2 linked regions of the Oryzias latipes genome follow. The protein of the gene in region 2 interacts with the protein of the main gene of each other region in a pairwise test. Links are inferred from orthologs where the notes say so. Each region holds a gene or a part of one and is shown on either strand. Other genes may lie near its edges.

What was found.
Region 1: the proteins of atp6v1d (region 2) and c12h9orf16 interact in binary tests that used the Homo sapiens proteins (3 or more experiments, as listed by UniProt). The two-hybrid records come from large-scale screens. The link is inferred for Oryzias latipes from reciprocal best matches to the Homo sapiens genes ATP6V1D and BBLN.

Annotation. Positions count from the first base shown.
Region 1 is NC_019870.2:12,174,116-12,177,501, reverse strand, and holds c12h9orf16 (UPF0184 protein C9orf16 homolog), read left to right. Parts: upstream 1-1,565; 5' UTR 1,566-1,835; coding exon 1,836-1,914; intron 1,915-2,336; coding exon 2,337-2,611; 3' UTR 2,612-2,870; downstream 2,871-3,386. Other genes in the region: surf2 (surfeit locus protein 2), read right to left, coding at 165-268, 402-553, 782-856. UniProt on the Homo sapiens protein: Essential for intermediate filament organization in intestinal cells, interacts with intermediate filament and regulates intestinal lumen morphology.
Region 2 is NC_019882.2:5,865,778-5,870,185, reverse strand, and holds the start of atp6v1d (V-type proton ATPase subunit D), read left to right. Parts: upstream 1-1,512; 5' UTR 1,513-1,674; coding exon 1,675-1,715; intron 1,716-3,735; coding exon 3,736-3,853; intron 3,854-3,976; coding exon 3,977-4,056; intron 4,057-4,227; coding exon 4,228-4,295; intron 4,296-4,377; coding exon 4,378-4,408. Other genes in the region: eif2s1 (eukaryotic translation initiation factor 2 subunit 1), read right to left, coding at 1-68, 179-419. UniProt on the Homo sapiens protein: Subunit of the V1 complex of vacuolar(H+)-ATPase (V-ATPase), a multisubunit enzyme composed of a peripheral complex (V1) that hydrolyzes ATP and a membrane integral complex (V0) that translocates protons.

The sequences.
Region 1 (3,386 bases), on a different chromosome or scaffold from region 2:
ACAAGGAACTATTGTGCATGAAGAAAAAGTGATGTCATATGTTGATGACAACGAGTCATTTCAGAACCCTTACTATTTGATTTTATTTGGTTGATTTTTATGTTTAATAATGTTGCTTTATAATGTTACAATTCCGAAGTTTAATAATAAAGTGATGCACTAACATTGAGCAAGGGCTTTCTTGAAGCGTTTCCCATTGATGTGGATGAGGACATGGCGTGGCTCCCGGTTCAGATGCCTGAGAGTCAACTTACAGAAAAGCTGATTGCTGGAAGAAAAAAAGACAAGTATCATCAGAGAAGACATTCCAAAATCCAAACTATCCTGTTCCATTGTGTGCACTTTTGATCACTTATTGGCCTAACCCCCAAAAATAATTGACTGACATAGAATGGCCTTACGGTTGTTTTGTGCTGGGAATGATATGTGGTTCATACTGGCTGTAGTTGAACTCAGCTCTAGAGCTCAGTTTCTTATACTTTTTCCCTTCAGTGAAATTCTGCAGCTCAGTCAGGTTGCAAGGAAGTTCATGACCATTCAGAGTGCACTTGATCTGCAAAGAAACATGTAAATGGTTAAAACGAGGCGGTGCTGCTGAGTGTATGACAAATATGAGTGGTTGTATATAAAAAATAATATTACCCCCCTCCCCCCATCGATGCGACCAATTACATTTAAAATTGTTAAACAATGCCATTCCACTTAATTATTAGCACTGTGCTAGCATAAAGTTGTTTGGGTGCACGTGTGTCTCAAATGACGCATGCAAATTGTTGCTAACCTTTTTATTATCTGTAAGCTCAAAAAACGGTTGAGTGACGAGAAAAGCTCTGAGGTCCGCAGGTAAATCCTCCATAGTAGTAACAAGAACAAAATCTTCAAAACAAAGTTCCTGGTAAAAAAAATATTACCCTACTCCACCGGAAGCTACATACACGTGGTCATTTGCGCAAACTCAGTGGGTTAAAATAAGCGCCCCCCACTGGTCAAAACCGGGACCGGTCACATATTTTAAACAGAAACAAATAATAATGATAAATAAATCTAAAAAGAAATAATCTGACGTTTATTTTTTCCAATCTAAAATAATAAGATTATCGGAACCTTACGTTTTAATTTAAAAGAATAGCGGGCAAATCAGTAAGCTGCTGGCAAAAAAATAAGTTTTAAATATAAATCCGACTTCAAGTAATAGACATATTTTTTGTGTGTACTTAAATGGAAAGTAGACAATTAAAATCCGTGTACAACTACACACAGCAAAACTATTCAAACATTTTCTAAAAGTCATGTGAGCTGCGTCAGATGACTGTGACAGTTCAAGCACCAAGATTGTTTGAGTAGAAAGAGGCGTCACTCTTGATATATTCTACAAAATTACAACTGTTGTCTACAAAACTAAGATTCTTTATTTTTTACTAACTACTGTAAATACGATATAAATAAGTAAAAATAAAGTCTAAAACCTTTAATAATAAAAACGATGTGCCATCAAATAGAACTGATTTAAAATTATCATTCATTCAGACAATAAATTGGTAGTGAGTCCTCTTACTATGGACTGATAGAACACAATTTATTTCCTGCACTCAATTGGATCTTAAAACAACGTCTGTCGACAACAGATGTCAGGCTTGCCGAGGAGCTGCTGTTAATAACTATTTAAACCAAAAGTCGATCATCTGAAAATAAATTCAAGATAAGTTTGTAATTCTGATGACCCGATGGTTGCAGATCATCGATGCTAGTTGGTTAACAAGCATCTAGCTAGCAAAAGAACAGCAAAGGAGACGTAATCGGTGTGTTAAAGTAATATTGTTCGTGTCTTCGTCATCATGTCTGGACCAAATGGCGATCCAAATATCTCCACTGACAATGGGATTATTGACGACGAGGACGAATTTGGCGATGAGGGTAATGTTTCCGTTCATTGTGATTTGACTAACTGGTTTATTTACACTACAACACCTGTTTTCTGTCGCCTTCTTTTCATTTTTAATTACAAAATTGCCTAAAGTAACTGTTTACCAAAGTGTAGGGTCATCCTCGTACACATTTATCTTGGTTTGACATTGACTTTTAAATGGATTAGCAGGTGGGAAAAAATAGTGCATTCCAATGTAGGTCAAACCTTATTTAAGAATAGAAGAAATAAAACAAAAACTCCCAACTTTATTTAAAATTGCATAAAAATATGAAAAATGTCACAATTTTTTTTTTATATTTTACTGCAGACATCAAAGCTCTGATTTTTATATTTCTCCTCATTCCAGTCTTTGTTGAATCTCCATGTCTTTCATCAGGCGTTAATGTTGGACTGTTGTGCTCCTTCACAGAGTACGCTGCCATAAACTCCATGCTGGACCAGATCAACTCCTACCTGGATGACCTGGAGGACCGGAACGATGCACTTAATGGAAAACTGCACGAACTGCTGGAGTCGAACCGGCAAGCTCGCCTTGAGTTCAGGGCCCAGATTCTTGAGTCTCAAAACCAAGAGGAGCAGTCCATCCAGGGGGGGGACCAATCTGCAGAGCTGTCAGCTTCTCCGTCCAACAAGGAAGAGCAAAATACAAACAAGGGCTCAGAAATTAATGATAAGAGTGCATAGATCTGCTATTTTTAGTGTGGAAAGACAGAGAAGGTGGCTTCAACTCCTAATCTATGCTGAACAAGCTATCTTTAGTCCATAGCAGTCATGTGCTTCAATGGTTTCCCAGATTACATTCCATCTTTTCCTCTTTGGATGATTTATGACACATTGGTAGTGGTTCCTGGTCAGATTTTTACTGACCTGCATCATTTGCTTTGGAAAAAGCTCCCTGCTTTGTAATTATTGTATGCAAATATAAATAACCCAGATGCTTGTGTACTGTTGTCCTGGATTATGTCATTGTGCTGGTCCAGATTGTGCTATTTAGTTTATTTTTGTCTTATTTCGAGTTAATACCCGAATATGAAATATGTTTTTAAGTACAAAAGATCAAAATAAAATGTCAAAAATAGTCAGATGTCTCATTACAGAATATATCTCTAAAAGAACATGAGAACTAACGTTTTCACCTGAATTTATATCATAAATAATTCCCCGGTTGCTCTAAAACTATCTGGTGTTGATAGAAGCCACAGTCATCTTTCTCCTTCACTTCAACACTAACAATTTATTTATTTTGTACTCCAACATGTGCAGGAACTTCATAAAATAGAACCTGTATTTACGGGACAAAATAAGCCTCAAGTGACTAAGAGGACAAGACATGTCAGTGTGTGAATGTGTGAGTGAATGGGTCTGTGAGTGTAAAGCGCTTTGGGCCTTGTAGGTAGAAAAAGCGCTATATAAGTATACACCATATACCATGTAAAAAAAATACACTTTCCTGCCCAAT
Region 2 (4,408 bases):
GGTAAATTTATCTTCACACTTGATGGCCTCCTCTGGAGAAACTCTTCTTTTTGATAAATCAATATATCCTGGAAAAAAAAGAAGAAAATGAACATAAGAAAGGAATTTGAAAACAGTAAAAAAGGCATTCACTTGCAAAGATTTACCCCTCATTATGAAGACATTCAGCAACACTCACCCTTTTCTTTATCTACTCGGATGACAACAACGCACTCGTTGCGACCTATGCGGATGAGCTTGTTGATGGAGCGGATACGCCGACGGGACAACTCGCTCAGGAGGATCATGCCCTCAATGTTGTTGTACTCCAAAAGGCTGACGTACGCGCCCATCTCTGCGATGGAACGCACGTTCACCATCACAACATCCTCCACCTCTGGAAACCGGTGCTGATAAAATCGACAGCTGAGCCCCGGCATCACTGTCGAAAAACATCAAAAATCAAAACCGTGTTCAAATCTAACACATCTTATGCTAAAAAGAAACATTTTCATTTCATTGTTCAGCATAAATTCATTCTTATTTATTTTCTAGTCAAAGTTTGAAGAATGTTAACAGAATGGTGAGCTCATTTGGGTTTTTGTGATATAAAGCCAGATTGAGATGGATTTAAAATGAGGTACGGTAAACATATAAAAAGGAGTACTGAGGTTATAATAGCTAAGATAGAAGTTTATAGGAAAACTACTAAGAAAAATACTGACTGGATTGCATGAAAGTGGATTTTTAGCTCTGGTAAACACAGCAAAAAGAAAAACCATCTGTTTGGGATGAACATTTAAATGGACCAATCAATATGTATCTACTTTTTAATCAGTCATATCAAGAACTTGTCAATTTAGTTTGAATTGCCTAAAAATTTGAATTTCTACCACCATAAAGTAGAATCTAAGATCCTGTAATTTCCTCTAGGAAGTGAAACGATCTATTCTTCCATAACACATAATGCTATATTGTTAAAATATATCTAGTAATGTTCTAATAAGGCTTTAAATATCCATTATTTTCGTTGTTTCATATTTTAATAAAAATGATGCAATGCGGACAAACAAGCACGAACAGAACCAAAACAAGGCATTTATCAAACGAGTAAAAGGTCACTTTGACTACTTGAAAGTGCCTATCTATGCGCAATCAATCACAAAGAGTTACGATATTTATTTAAACACAAAAGGATTGACTTAATGCGTGCTAGCTGCCTGGCTAACCACCGGGTTCACGTGTGGCGCGTGCAATGTAGCTGCGGCTAACTGCTAGCCAGCTAGCTGTGACTACCGCCTGTTTTAACGCTAAACATCGAACTTCTTTTCTGTCAATAACAACTCACCTGTGTCGTGGGCTTACAGAACTACACACTTGAATGTTATGTGCTCTAAATATTGGTTCCCTCTACTTCTTTCAGCTAATTATTTGAGGCCGTTAGCTCGCATTCATAGGTGGACTAGCTGCTCGACCCGGAAAAGATCTTGAGCGCTTATCGCTTCGCGCATGTGCAGTGCGAGCTTGGGGCAGTCACATGACCAGAGGCCAGCTGATCATCACGGACGAACAAGATCACGGCAGTTACCTTAGTCTTTCAACTAATCCCGAATGAAGACGGTTGTTTGTTTGTCTGTTTAGCACATTTTTATACAACGCCCCGTTTTCAGATCGTATCCTGCAAAAGCCGAGAAGATGTCTGGAAAAGAAAGGATCGACGTTTTCCCGTCCAGGATGTAAGCACCTTGTTTTTCTTGCTAGTTGCTAACTCACTTAGCTTAACTACATTATTTCATTGATTCATTGGGTTTTTAGCTGATTATCGGTTATTTGTTTGTGATTGATTCTTACATAAACGTGTTTCTCACGTATGGTTTCGACTTTTCGTGCTGTCTGGACGCTAAAGAGGAAGGAGCCGCCTTGTGTGTCATGTGATGCTTCCAACATCTTGCGTTGGTCACTCACAGGTTTTTCTGTCTGAAGAAACCTGTTCCAGTGCAAATGTTGCTTTAGCTCATACAAGGGGACTCAAATTCGTGTTAAATTAGATAGTTGTTTTTGAGATTAACAAATACCGAGAATTTGGTTGCATTTCAAATTTAGAGCTTGGCGACTCTTTTCCAGACCAAAAAAAACGTTAAATTTGTGTGTTTGCCCTTCTGTCAGAGTTCTAATAACATACCTACATGACATCAGAGCAGAGGTTTGCAACCTGAGGTCCCTGAGCCACAAGCAGCTCATTTATTCTTCCATTTTGGCTCTTTGGCTTTGAAAAAGCAGGCAGATGTCATAAGGTTTAATGTGTCAGAGCAGTTTTTTTTTTAGAATAAGTGTAAAGCACATATTCTTATCTTCAGATGCACAATATTGTTTTCTTGCTGTTTAGTGACAAAGTTCTTATAATTGCAAGTAAAGGTGATGCAGCAGGAGGAGCGTATTTGACACTCACATGTATTTTATTTTGAAAGGATCGCGTACGTTAAACGTTAGTTATTTACAAAAAAGATCTTAACACTGTTATTATTCAATCCTTATAAATATATAAAAGCTACATTTCATAAATGAATGGCTCAACAATCACACAAAATGTATATATATATATTTTTATCAGTAATGCAAAACTTAAAAAAAAAAACCTTTAAAAAAAAAAAGGTGCGGTGATGCCCTACTTTTTCTGCTAGTCCTGTGTTCAGACTTCAAGGGTTTCTATGGGAAACCTTTTATCACTCTTGTCCTTCTCTCCTCTTTGAGAAGCATGCAGCACGTGCACACTCTATCTACACACAAACACGTGCGCTGTTTCAGAAACACACACACATCCTCATTCTACAATAGAAGTTTCTGTCTTGCCAGGAAATACGACAAATTTACTGCGTTCTAATTATTCCTTTCCATTACAAGCTGCGTGCGTTCTTGAGTGCGTGACACGGCGCCCGCCGGAAGATTTTGTTTGTGTGTATGTTTGTGTGTGTGTGTGTGTGGGGGGGGGGGGGGGGGGTGTAACACCAAACATGAACGGGCGCTGTTAGATTTCCATGAATATCACTACATTTTTGTTTGGGAACTATTTTGTGCAGCACATAAATAAGTGTCTGTATAAACAAAGGCGTTTTCTGCAGCCTTGGTCTGTTTGTCTTTCTTTCCTTGTTCAATAGTTCAAATGTTGCAGGTTATTTTAACCCAACAGATTCAGACACAAGTGTTGGTTTTTGGACCCATTAATGGAAAAAAAAAAAAAAGCAAAAACAAGTCAATAAATTCAAGTCTTAGAGCCAGATCAAAAAAGCGGTAAAGTCCATGTGTTTCTTAACATTTTTTTTGGTCACAACACTCCTTAGAAATGAGACAGAATTCTCTGTTTTACTCCAAAATGGTGGTTTTTGCTGTCCTCGCAGAGTAGTCAGGCCTCCTTTGTGTTTTTCAAACAACACAACCCACCTGTTGATCTTGCAAAATGTTTTTTCTGCCTTTATTTTTTTATGACTTTTTCAAATTCTAGATTTTTCTACATTTTAGTTATGTACCTTTGGCGGTTTTTCAAAACATTTCTTGTGCTTTTTATCTTGTACACTGTCTTTAACTATTAGTTTAAAGTGCTTTTGAGTTGAAAAAGAGAAAATATTACTGTAGTTATTTATACATTTTTTGCAAAGTTCTCTTATAGTTGCAAATTTTTTGACTGCAAAAAGAATGCATTAAATGATGTGATATATTATAAAGCACATTTAAAGTGTTTTGCTCTTCTTGTGTATGCAGGGCTCAGACCATCATGAAGGCTCGGCTGAAAGGAGCTCAGACCGGCCGCAACCTGCTGAAGAAGAAATCGGACGCCCTCTCTATGCGCTTTCGTCAGATCCTTCGCAAAATAATTGAAGTCAGTAAAAAAACCAAGTGATAAATGACATCAAAACAGAAATTTTTGTTGATCGATTTGGCTTAAAACAGTCAAATAAGTGACCACAGAGCTTTCTAAACGTAAATATTTCATGTTTTTTAGACAAAAACCAAGATGGGAGAGGTGATGAGGGAAGCTGCTTTCTCTTTGGCTGAAGCCAAATTTGCAGCAGGAGACTTTAGGTGAGAATAGAAATGCAGTAAAATGGGACATCTGGCACATTTCTCCAGCTAAATATATTTACTTAACTCTTTATTATTTGATGCAAATTAGATTTTTCTCATATAATATGCATTTATAATGTGATTTCTAAATGTATGTTTTTAAATGTTTTTTAAACTCGCCGTCCGCAGCACAACTGTAATCCAGAATGTCAATAAAGCCCAGGTGAAGGTTCGGGCAAAGAAAGATAACGTTGCAGGTTAGCTCACGCATCCTCTAATTGTCACCACTCTGAGAAATGTGGATACATTTGTCACATCCTCCGTATTCATCCTTTTCAGGTGTCACCCTCCCGGTGTTTGAGCACTACCA